Linked DNA regions of Oryzias latipes. The protein of the gene in region 3 purifies or fractionates together with the protein of the main gene of each other region. This does not show direct contact. Links are inferred from orthologs where the notes say so. Each region holds a gene or a part of one and is shown on either strand. Other genes may lie near its edges.

What was found.
Region 1: the proteins of exosc8 (region 3) and dis3l purify together in Homo sapiens (affinity purification with mass spectrometry; 4 studies listed by BioGRID and IntAct, counting the BioPlex papers as one, with this or other methods). This does not show direct contact. The link is inferred for Oryzias latipes from reciprocal best matches to the Homo sapiens genes EXOSC8 and DIS3L.
Region 2: the proteins of exosc8 (region 3) and mphosph6 purify together in Homo sapiens (affinity purification with mass spectrometry; 4 studies listed by BioGRID and IntAct, counting the BioPlex papers as one, with this or other methods). This does not show direct contact. The link is inferred for Oryzias latipes from reciprocal best matches to the Homo sapiens genes EXOSC8 and MPHOSPH6.

The regions. Positions count from the first base shown.
Region 1 is NC_019861.2:584,693-588,243, forward strand, and holds part of dis3l (DIS3-like exonuclease 1), read left to right. Parts: coding exon 1-57; intron 58-153; coding exon 154-321; intron 322-1,683; coding exon 1,684-1,762; intron 1,763-1,829; coding exon 1,830-2,009; intron 2,010-2,072; coding exon 2,073-2,144; intron 2,145-3,551. UniProt on the Homo sapiens protein: Catalytic component of the RNA exosome complex which has 3'->5' exoribonuclease activity and participates in a multitude of cellular RNA processing and degradation events.
Region 2 is NC_019864.2:5,684,959-5,689,259, forward strand, and holds the start of mphosph6 (M-phase phosphoprotein 6), read left to right. Parts: upstream 1-1,494; 5' UTR 1,495-1,679; coding exon 1,680-1,727; intron 1,728-1,768; exon of another isoform or gene 1,769-2,010; intron 2,011-2,118; exon of another isoform or gene 2,119-2,169; coding exon 2,170-2,282; intron 2,283-2,369; coding exon 2,370-2,460; intron 2,461-2,555; coding exon 2,556-2,653; intron 2,654-4,301. UniProt on the Homo sapiens protein: RNA-binding protein that associates with the RNA exosome complex. Involved in the 3'-processing of the 7S pre-RNA to the mature 5.8S rRNA and play a role in recruiting the RNA exosome complex to pre-rRNA; this function may include C1D.
Region 3 is NC_019872.2:10,272,704-10,276,849, forward strand, and holds exosc8 (exosome complex component RRP43), read left to right. Parts: upstream 1-1,314; 5' UTR 1,315-1,369; coding exon 1,370-1,386; intron 1,387-1,656; coding exon 1,657-1,693; intron 1,694-2,072; coding exon 2,073-2,136; intron 2,137-2,224; coding exon 2,225-2,298; intron 2,299-2,486; coding exon 2,487-2,532; intron 2,533-2,912; coding exon 2,913-3,018; intron 3,019-3,114; coding exon 3,115-3,160; intron 3,161-3,232; coding exon 3,233-3,329; intron 3,330-3,474; coding exon 3,475-3,595; intron 3,596-3,670; coding exon 3,671-3,777; intron 3,778-3,863; coding exon 3,864-3,982; 3' UTR 3,983-4,078; downstream 4,079-4,146. Other genes in the region: alg5 (dolichyl-phosphate beta-glucosyltransferase), read right to left, coding at 319-384. UniProt on the Homo sapiens protein: Non-catalytic component of the RNA exosome complex which has 3'->5' exoribonuclease activity and participates in a multitude of cellular RNA processing and degradation events.

The DNA.
Region 1 (3,551 bases), on a different chromosome or scaffold from region 3:
GAGGCTGTTGCTCAGTACAGCAGCCTTCACTCAGGAGTTTATGTCGTCACGGTCCAGGTGAGAGGCGCCCGTCCTCTTCAGCTAATGAGCTGCTTTCAACCGTCTGGTCCACATGGACGACATGCTCCTGAATCCATCCACCCGTTTCTTCAGGATTATTTGCAGAACTTCTGGCCGGATCTGCAGGCGGCTCAGGAGCTCTACGCCTCCATTTCTCAGGCGTTGGAGGAGAGGGAGGCTGAGGACTCGCAGAGGGAGTTTCCTGAACATCTGCCTGCTGAGGTCATGGAGGCTGGCATCAAGTCTGGACGCTACATCCAGGTACTGAATCTGCAGAGGCAATAGACCAGATGAAAGACGGGAATATATTTGTATAAAGTCCTTCAGGATTTGAGGCTAACCTTTTATATTATTAAATGAGAAACTCGAATGCAAATCAGTCCGCCCATCAGAAATACATGAACAAAGCTGCTAAGACAGTTTACCATGTATTATACCACGGTCTGGGTGAATTCTGGTTTCTGATTGGCTGCTGGGTTTGCATTAAAACATGATAAATCACAGCGATAATGTAGACCTAAAATAGTGGTTCTGGTCACATAGCATACATGTTCTGTATCACTGCTCTGGTTCCTTTAAAACAAACTTTATCTTCATCATCTGGACAGAAACAAGCGGGAAGAGGAGAACTGATGCTTTATTTAACTGTCGTGACCACCAGCATACATATGGCTTTCCTTAGCAAATAGTCCACTTTTTATGAAAAAGCGATCCAAACCAAAAAAATAACAAGGATAAAGGACTAAAAAGCTGGTTAAATATTTATTTCCTTTGTAAGTGACCGTGGTTTAAGCGGGTTCACGACTTCCAAGTGTGCATTATGTAAGGGTTAATGGCCTTCGAAGTGTGCGGTTACTACTTTTTAACGCACGCCGTGGAAGCCTGAACCGTCCGACGCGAAGCGGAGGACGGTTGCTTCCGCGAAGTGCATCGCGCCGCATCACGTAACATATAGTACATATATATAACATATAGTCCGCGTCGCGCAGTACCACCGCTGCAGTCAAGTTTCGGCGATATATATATGCTGATCGTCCCGATGGGTTGAATAAAGCATCAATTCAGAGGGAAAGTTAATCGCTTACCGCTTGTTTTTGCCCCGATGATGAAGCAAAAGGTTGTTTTACAGAAGCCGGCGCAGTGATACAAATCATTTAAGCTAGCCGACCGGAACTTCTTTTTTCACTGTGCGGTTATCAGGTTTTAACGCATACCCAGCAGCCAATCAGAATCGAGTGTTCACCCGGACCATGGTATAACAGAAATTAACGCACGACGTGGAAGCCTGAAACGTCCTCAGCTTCACGTCGGACAGTTGCTTCTGCGAAGGCCGAAATGATAAACCAACAGAACGGAGTCAAATGTCAACGGCTCTACTTGACCAAAAGGAACAGAAATGACCGTCTGGTCTGTCTTCCTGAACCACACAAATAAAACTATGCAAGTTCAACAGCCAAAGAAGGAAGAGAATTGCAGTCCAGGATCTTCCTGAGCGGCGGCTGTAGACCAGCTTCATTTAAAAAGCGCCTTTTGTTTTTGCTCTTCATCATTCATGATTCATGAACAGATGCTCCTCACATCCCCATCAGAAAGCCTCTTCCTGTTTCCTCTGTGGTCCGTTAGGGAACTCTGAGCGTGAACAAACACCGAGCCCAGAGCGAAGCTTTGGTTCAGACGGAGGGCTCGTCCAGCCAGGCCATGGGTAAGAACGGCTCAGGGGGGCGTCTGTTCCTGCTGAACGACCCTCCACAGCCTCTCTGTCCCGTCAGATCTGAGCTCGGGGGTGCTGGTGCACGGGGGCAAGAACCGCAACAGAGCCGTGCACGGAGACGTGGTCGTGGTGGAGCTGCTGCCGAGGAGCGAGTGGAGGGGGAGAGCAACGCTTCTGACAGAGGGACAGGGGGACGACAGGAGTCCAGACGACGGCCAGGAAAAGCCCATGCCAACAGGTGGGAGACCCCTTTGCCCCGGAGCTTCTGCCCCTTACAGCCTTTTGACCGCCCTTTCTGCAGTGAAACCGATTCCAGTGGAGAAAAGCGCCGATATGCAACGCTGCACAGCAGAGAAATGTGGACACGATCAAGGTGAATCAGAGAAAGACAGAAGGCACAAACAAAGCTGAATTGGAAGGGTTAAAGATCCTCTCTTGTTTTCACGATGTCCAGAATAGGTGGAACAAAAAACCAACCCCTAACATCTTCATCCTACTTCTGTGAAGTTTCTGAAAACTATGACACGGTTTGTGAACAAACCCTATCAGCTTTTAGTTGGAGCTTCTCTGTTTGAGAAATCATGGAACACTGTATGGTGTTACCAACCTCATTGGTTTATTATTCCACTAATACATTTGACAGTATGTGAACTGCATCAGAATCATGTGAATACCGTAAATTCCGGGCTATAGAGCGGACCTGATTACAAGCCACACCCATTACATCATTAAAAGATAAACCATTTTATATACAAATAAGCCGCCCCTGTATATTAGCCGTGGCTGAGCAGTCCCTCCCCTGTCTCTGAACAGTTTTAGAGAGGGAGAGGCCGACAGAGGCTGCATTTTCTCCTTTCCAGCATTTTAACCTGCTCAGCATTATAGCCTATTCATTTACTCATGCACACAAACAGCCAAACCGCATGGAGGTCACTCCTGCTCACAGCCCCCTCAGTCATGGTGAGGAACTTTACACCCACGATTCCCCACTTCCCATGAGTCTTAGGGGCTAACCCTCAGGTCGATATACAGAGAGGTTGATATACAGAGTGAAAGAGAACTGTAATAAAAGAAGGTTTCCCCCAGAGAAGATGATCCTTTATTAACCCACTCTGGAGGCTCTGAGGGTCCAAACAGGGAAGTGAACAAACAAAGGAAGATCCACCTTCAGCGGAGAGGAAAGAAAGAAAAAAGTAATGCAGGAAAGGTTCAACACATGATATCTACAAAGAAAGACGGTGCAGAAAGAGTTTTCAAAGTTTTAATGACATACCTGGCTTTTCTTTCCAAACAGTGCCTTTGACGCGGCAGCAATATGGTAGTAACCGCACTAACAGGGCTGGGTAAAAAACATGAACGTAAAAGTCACTGAGAGCTGTCTTCATCTTCCTCCTGTGCCCTGAAACATGGAAGTTTTCCTCCTCTTCATCTTCCTCCTGTGCCCTGAAACGTGGAAGTCTTCCTCCTCTTCATCTTCCTCCTGTGCACTGAAACATGGAAGTCTTCCTCCTCTTCATCTTCCTCCTGTGCACTGAAACATGGAAGTCTTCCTCCTCTTCATCTTCCTCCTGTGCACTGAAACATGGAAGTCTTCCTCCTCTTCATCTTCCTCCTGTGCCCTGAAACGTGGAAGTCTTCCTCCTCTTCATCTTCCTCCTGTGCCCTGAAACATGGAAGTTTTCCTCCTCTTCATCTTCCTCCTGTGCCCTGAAACGTGGAAGTCTTCCTCCTCTTCATCTTCCTCCTGTGCCCTGAAACATGGAAGTCTTCCTCCTCTTCA
Region 2 (4,301 bases), on a different chromosome or scaffold from region 3:
CATATTTGTATAATTTTGACAGAATATATTTCTATGGAGAGCTAAATATTACAAGTTATTTAGGGTTTAAGTTAACTTGTGTTCCTGTTTTTATGCATATTTATGTTAAAAAAGTTCAGTTTAAAAGGTTTAAAAGTTTAGCTTTAGTGTGTTCAGTAAATGTTTATCTTCTTCGGCCAAAAACCTTAAGCGTGTTTGACTGAGTTTGACCCCCCTGTAATACGAGTCTAGAAAATGCATGCATTTTTTATGTAAAATTGCTAAAAAGAAGATAGGTAACACAACAGGATGTTGTCAAATTTTGTATGTGTGCGGGGGGGGGGGGGGCGCCTGTGGGGTTACTCGCCCAGGGAGTAAGTTAGTGTAGAACCGCCACTGCATTAGCATGATACAAACTTTCCATGTCTTTTACCCTGCAGTTCATCATCATTCCACTAGGGGCAGCAGAATGGCTTTTACTGTATTGCTTATTGCAAAATGGCCGCCTCTGTGACATATCCATAACACGTTTGGCAGGGAAGTTTAGCAAATGTTTATGGTGAAAATAACCCATCTATTGTTATTCATTTTCAAACGCTGGCGAGGCTCGCCTCCCTGGAAGCTTTTTCTCCGCCCTTACAGTCATCGCTCTGACCGTACTCTCTGTTACAACTGAGTCCTGCAGTCAGACATGACGCGAAGCGCTCCAGAGCCTCACCCGGAGTTTCTGCTCCCTATGTGAGCGCACAACAGTCAAATTCTGCAAATTTAACCTCAGAAACTGTGGGAAATGTGTCGAGTCAACTGAAAATGTGTCTTTAATACGGATCAGAGGAAAATCATATTTACTTAGTGTACGTTTTTCTATTTTATCACATTGACCAGTGAGGCCGAGCTTCACTTGCCTCATCTGATCACATGTCACTGTTGAAGTTGACATTTTTTGTACCACCTCTATGCTTTATTGTAAACTTAAGATGTTCCAAATAAGTCTGACGAAGGATACAGTTAGCATACTTCCTACACTACTAGGCCTATAGTAGATTTGCTCAATGCATATACAAGTATCTTACTAAAATAAACTTCAAGTGTACTATGGTACTTTTAACTAAAGGTTTTCTAGAGTTCCACGTCTCTCTTTTTAAGTCAAAACAGAAAAAAATAAAAATAAATTATTGACCTGTGTTTTATCTTTCGTCTTATGATATGACATGCTTATCTTTTAAATTAATTTTCAATTATGTTTTTACAAAATGTAGGCTACTTCGGTACAATCAGCGATTGTTGTAAAGCGACTTACAAATAAAGTTTTTGGAATGTTTGCCACGTGACCCGTTGGGTTTTGTTGACTGTCGTGTTTATTACTGTTTATCTATAATGTGTTGTGTTTATTTTGTTGTAAACTACACATCAAACGCATTTCCGTTGATTCACCTGTTCTTTAGCTTGCACTTCACTGTTCTGTGATCAAAAATTACCTGTAGGATAAATACATAACTTAAGGAAAAGCCTCGATTCCTCGGTGCTTGATTAATCAGGCCTGCCTGAATTGCGCATGCTCGACTTTTGACAACATGTCTTTTCCGGCGCGTGGGGCGTTTGTTCTGCTGCAGTAACCAAACCAACGACGTCCTACGGTTAGGTTGAATCAGTTAAGGTTAGTTTAGCGCGGATAGTCTGTTTGTGTTAACCGGAGAAAGATGGCTGCCGACGGAGTGAAACTCTCCAAGAATCTGCTGCGCATGAAGGTACATGCTAGCACCATTAGCTAGCTGCGGCGCGAGCCGCTAGCGTCGATTCATTTTGTTGGCTCCAGAGTGAGAGAAATGGACCAGAACTGATGTTCGTGTCCATAATTCTGCCTCTTGTTCTTCATCCTTCGGCAGGGGCCTGTCTTATCTCCATTCAAGGATCTTTCTGGTTGAATTTGTCAGAGCTGGGCATAGTTTGGGGCTTGACTGTTTTGGTTGGTCTGCTTTCGACTGAAAGGTGGTCATAACTAGTTAATAGGTTAAGAATGACGAACCACAGGTGGGTTAGATTTAGTTTGGTGCTCGGTTTCACATAGTTGCATTGTAAACCTTTAAGACACGTGATCACCTGGGTGGACTGACTCTCGTGAGGTATACTGTACTGCAGATGAGAGCGTGCACGTAGGCGTATGCATGAAAGTGTCATCTGTGGCTGCAGTTCATGCAGAGAGGGCTGGATGCAGAGACGAAGAAGCAGCTGGAGGAAGACGAGAGGAGGATCATCAGCGACGAGCATTGGTATCTGGACCTGCCCGAGCTCTGCACCAAAGAGTACGTGTCTGTGCTCGTGCACGCCTCGCCTGCAGTGGTGTGAACACCTGTAGGTGTGGATGATGGTGACCTCTGCTCCTTCATCAGGACTGTGCTGGTGGAGGAGGAGAGCTTCACTCCCTGTGAGGACTTGCAGTTTGGCCGGATCTCCTTCAGAGGCTTTAACCCAGAGGTTGAGGTGAGGTTCAACCTACAACCGTGTGCGTGCGCACGTGCGTGTGCATGCGCACGTGCGTGTGCATGTGTGCTCTGACCTGTCAGTTGTCCTCACAGAAACTGATGACCTTGTTGAATCCAAAAGATGAAGATGAAGAGGAGAAGGATGTGAGCTGCATGCAGACAGACATCACAGATGAGGAGATGGCTCTGAGGTACACTTCCTCTTCCTCCTGTCCTCCTCAGATGTTATTTGATAGGGTTGCTCTTTGCTCAACAGATCGGTTCCAGTTCTGGATCCAGAGCCTGACTGGTGCCAGGACTGGAACCGGGTCTAAAACGTCGACCCGCTTCATGTCGATCATATAAGCTTTGGGGGCGTGGCTACACAGCCGCAGGAAGAGAATGGAATCTGCTCTGTAGTGGTCTAAACTCTACTCCATCCTCGGGTAGTTAAGCTGATGATAAAGAACTCATTTGGCTCAATCCATCAAACACTTCATTTGTGGAGCGTCTTTCTTCAACGTGCTTAGAACACAAGGTGTTTGACATAAAAAACAAACAGGTTGAAATTATAAAAAGTCATAAAACCAGCAACAATCAAGAGGTGAACATAAGATGGTAGAAAACTGTGGCTACTAGTTATTGTTGAGAAGGCGCTCTATAAAGAGAGTAATAAAAGTACAAACGATTAACAATATAAGCCATGAAATACTTTAGACCCAAATAAATAATTGAATTAAATGAAGACGTTTTTGAGAATTTACATGAACATTTACAGTGAAACTCTCCACAGATGCAGAAACTCTCAGATCTTCAGGTTCCACAGATGAGGACCACGGTACTGAAATGAGGCCTCAATGTGGGTCCTGGTCCTCAGTTTTTCGTTTAGATAAGAGAGCAGAACCTGAGGATCTGAGAGTTGTGGAGGTTTTGGAAGGACCTAGATCTGATAAATAGGAAGGTCCCAATCCAAAAAGACATTTATAAACTAGAAGGAGAATCTTCAAATCATCCAGAGGCTGACAGGAAGCCAGGAGGGATGTGAGCTCTGAATTCTGGACGAGCTGGAATCTATTCATAGATTAAAAGAGCATCACAAAAGTCCCGTCTAGATATGATAAAAGGCAACATTGTTAAAGGAATACAAGCAGTCTTAGTTGTGTTTGATATGTGGATTTTAAAGTTAAGATCTTCCTACATTTATACCAGAGTTTTGAAGTGAGTGTGGCTTCAGGCCCAAGGATCAGTTTCTGTTTGGTCCTTGTTGAGTTTGAGAAAATTAGCTGTCGTCCATTCTATGACATCACTAATATATTTAAGAGGTTTGTCAATGGGATGTAGGCCACACTGGGAGAAGCTGTGGAAGTCTACATCCTAACGTCATGAAGTGTAGCTTAGTGACGTTACCCAGTGGGAGCCTCTACAAGTGAACCCTTTAACACTGGAGATGTTGCCAGTCACATCTAAATAACAGATTCTTTCAACTACCGTTACTCTTCAACCGTTTACGGCTTTTCACTGATATGCCAAACATTTTGCAAAGTGTTGAATATTCTGTTGATTTCTAAAATAGTTATTTTTACATTACAATTAAGTAATTCATCTTTGTCATGTGCTTTACTGATATTTCAAGATTCTTAATTCTGTCTGATAAAAGCTAGAAACCGGATATTGATAAATCATGTAATAAAATGGTTATGGTATAACGGGGTGGGATTATGTAAGTTCGCTTTCTTTCTCTCCCTTTCTAGCAATATTTATTAATATGCCTCATTATCCTAAGTTTGATTAGTTGTTGTATGAATGTATAACTGATTCAATGATTGTATTGCTTTTGTGTGTTATTTCGAATTAATTGCT
Region 3 (4,146 bases):
AAAAAAAAAAAAAGAATAGGCCAGTGTTGCTCCTCACAACTTCTTTTCTTTTTCTGCCTTTTTATTGTTTGTTTTACTCCGATTAAGGAGCTGTATTTACATAATAATTTCCCCCTCCATTGTATATTAATATTTCTATTTTGATATGACACGTTTAAATAAAAGAAAATGCAGCCATCATGCATACATACACACACACCCACACACACACACACAGAAACCATGGAGTACTAGTACATACATGTGAAAATCGCTATCTTACACGTGCTAAGAAGTTAGTTACATTACTAACAATGTTAAAACTATCCATACACTTACCACAATGAAACCAAGAGCCGCTAATGCGACGAGAACTTGAATAATTTCACAGATAAAGTCCATCATGTTTCCATAAGTCGCCCTACAGCTCCTAACTAACACCTACACCTGGCTGGCTGTAGCTAGCTTTTCTTCTTTGTCCCGTTCCGTATCCCAACCCTCTAACTTATAACAAAGGTGTAAACGAAAATATATGAAATATAAACACTGAATCTCTATGAGCCCATAACGCTTTCAAGCTCCACTTCCAATCAGAGCTGTACACAAAAGCAACACGGAAGTAAATTTTACTCCTCGACACATCATCAGTTTGAAGCAGAACTCCACATGACAGGCTGCGAGAAATGCATACTGCCACTTACAGGCGTGGGGTGGTACTGACACTAGCAGGTTTTTAGTTTGTTTGTTTGAACAACCAAACAACAGGTTTTGTTTTTCATGCATATATTTTATGATCATTGCTAACCCTAACGTTTGAAGCAGCAATGTCAAAGTCTGAAAGACAAAAAAAGAAAAGACTAACCAACAACTATAACTAAAAACTGAAAAAGAAAAATAATTAGATTAAAAATTGTCAAGCCTGTAAAAAAGGGTTAATGCAGTTTTATCATTTCTTTATGGTTTAATGTAGTTTAAAACCAAATTAATACAGGTGTTAACAAAATGAATATAATAGAAATAATATTTATATTAATATCTTTTTAAGATGACACAAAATCAACAAGACAGTAGTAATGAAATAAATAAATCCCCAAATACGAGAACAGTTTAAAACTTGAAGGAAAATCTGGAAGAAAAAAAACAAAAAACAATAAAACATGAATGGTAAATTATTAAAAGCTTAAAGTAGCACTTTCTTTATTAGTTACTTATATTTTTGGAAATTGGATTTGGGTACGCCAAAAAAATAATACAGTAAAAAGCGGATCTTTATCGTCCCTAAATTAAAAGAAGAAGAAGAAAAAAGTGTTCAGGTTCAGCACAGCATGGACGAGGTTTTTTCCCCATTGCGGCTGCCGTAGCACAAACCCACGTGTTGTACCAAAACATCATGGCGGCTGGATTCAAGTCAGTATCTGAAAGTTGTTCAGGTTTTATGTAATTTACGGCGTTTTTTTCGTTTAAATTAACTTTTTAACTTTACATAAAGAAAATGAATTATTTGCTGTACTTTAAATCAAAGTGGAGAAATCACAAAGTCTAGGTTATGTCCGTTAGTAAATTGGGTTTCTATTTATTGCCGCTAAGAATTTATTTTTTATTTTATCAACATAACACTAAACGTACGTGATTTTGTACATGCATTTACCTTTTCTGTCTTCCCTCATGACTGTTTAGGACCGCTGAACCTCTGGAATATCATATGAGCTTTCTGGTTTGTCCAATTTTTTATTTATGTATTTTTTTATTAGATTGTCAAAATATGGCACACACACACATTCACATAACTACAACAGAAAGAAATAAAAAGGAAAAAAACGTTAAAATTGTAGTTCACAATACTAGGGATTGCCATACAACATGTGATCTTCAATAAAAATGGACAGTTTTATTGCGTTTTTGTTTTTCATTAATTTCAGGGAGTTGAAACATAAACAAATCTCTTAATGAAATGTATTAAATGGTTTGCTTTTTAAAAATCTGCTGTTATGAATTAAGAACTTTCCAGAAATTAATATTTCAACTTTACTGTAACGCTGTAATGTTACACTCATATCAATTTGAATCTAAAACTTTATTTATTTTCCCCATAGAAAGAGAACTGTCGACCAGATGGACGCGAGCTGTCTGAATTCAGAACCACGACATTGAATATAGGTGAATTGAAGCACCACAAAGTTGCAGTGTTTATGATACAAGCAAACAACAATCATTGAGCACTTTTCTCTTTTGGGTTTGTGTTCAGGGTCCATATCCACGGCAGACGGCTCTGCATTGGTGAAGCTGGGAAGCACAACAGTCATCTGTGGCATCAAAGCTGTGTGTTAACATGTTATTACACTGAAACTCACTCTTAATAATTTATTCCAGATGCCTTTGTTTTAAAAGGTGTACAGTTAAAAAATAAAACAGATCTATGTGAATATTTCTTAACCCCCCACCACTTCTTTCAGTGTTTGTACATTTAGCAAGTTGTTTCCTGTGTCATACATTGATCTATTCTGCAGGAATTGGCAAACCCTACAGTGGAAGCTCCTGGTAAAGGATATATTGGTAAGTTTTTATAGATAAAAATAGTTAAAGATACTTTATCGATGCCAACTTGTTAAATTTGTAGCAGTAGTGTGCAGACCTTAGCTTGTACAGAGAAGCAACTATCAAAAATCAATGATGAATGCAGCGTATCTCTGGCACAAAGATGAGTTAAACAGTCCTATGTCGTGGAACAGGAATGAGCTCCTTTAGCAGTCATCGTAGCAGCACTTGGAAAGGCACTCAACTGTCCATCCAGTACGGCAGGCAGAGGATGCTCAGGATTATCCATGATGGATACGAGTTTGTTCTATTTTTAGCTTCAAGGGTTGTCACTGAAAAGCACAAGTTTTTAAGTGGAAAAATAATCCCAATCATTGGACTTTTCCTGTTATTTATAGTCCCCAATGTAGACCTACCACCCCTCTGTTCCTCGCGATTTCGGCCAGGCCCGCCAGGAGAACAGGCCCAAGCTTCCAGCCAGTTTATCGCTGATGTCATCGAAAGGTTTGTCAGAATTAAAAACACTACAATCTCTTTACTCTCATCAGTTTATCTGCATTTCTCCCAATGGTTTTCACCAACTTCCATCCACCTTTGCAGCTCTGAAATAATCAAACCAGAGGACTTGTGCATCGACAGAGGAAAGGTAAATCCAGACTGATGCCGTTTGTTTTCACTGTTGGTTCACTAGCGGTGAGTCTATTTATCCTCTTTGCAGCTTTGCTGGGTGCTGTACTGTGACATCATGTGTCTGGATTATGATGGAAACATTCTGGATGCGTGCATCATTGCTCTGCTGGCTGCACTGAAGAACAGTACGTCATTGTTTCAGTAAAAAAAAAAAAAAAATAATTAAAGTTATTCTGTACATTTTAACCAACTAATCCGTGTTTTAAAATTGAAAATTGCCCCGAAAGGAGTCTATCAACAGGCTGATTTTGCATTTTTCACTTCCCACAGCTCGTCTCCCAAAGGTCACCGTCAACAAAGCGACATGCAAACCAGAGATAGATTTGAAAGAGCGACACGAGCTGCCGGTTCACAAACATCCAGTCGGCACCTCGTTTTGTATCTTCCAGGAGTACGTTTTAGATATTGTTGCATTTTCTGGGTTTGTTGAAAGCATGTGTACAAACCAAGCGTGCTCTTTGTGCAGCTCCATCCTGATTGTAGATCCCACCGCTGATGAGGAGAGTCTGTCCACATCGCGGCTCAGCGTGGTCACAGATGAGGAGGAACGACTCTGCTCTCTACACAAACCAGGTCAGACAGGCCGTGCAGTGCGCTTCCGGCGATCAACACAATAACTCCAATCATACGGAGCTGAAACCCGGTTCTTTGCGCCTCAGGTGGGACGTCCCTGTCAGCAGAAAAGCTCCAAACTTGCATCAACCGAGCAACAGCACGACAAAGAGAGATCCAGAAACTCATCGAGAAAGTTCTAAACAGCGTGAAGGCAGCACAATAAAGACACCCAGACCAAGACTTTTATCTAAAAGCTGTATTTTCACTGTCAATATATATGTTCTTTTTTTTTTAATAACAATAAAACTGCTGACAAAGACTGCTTAAAAAATTATTTCTCAATATTCAGAAACCTCTCTCACACACGCTCAGCTGATGTCTTGTAAG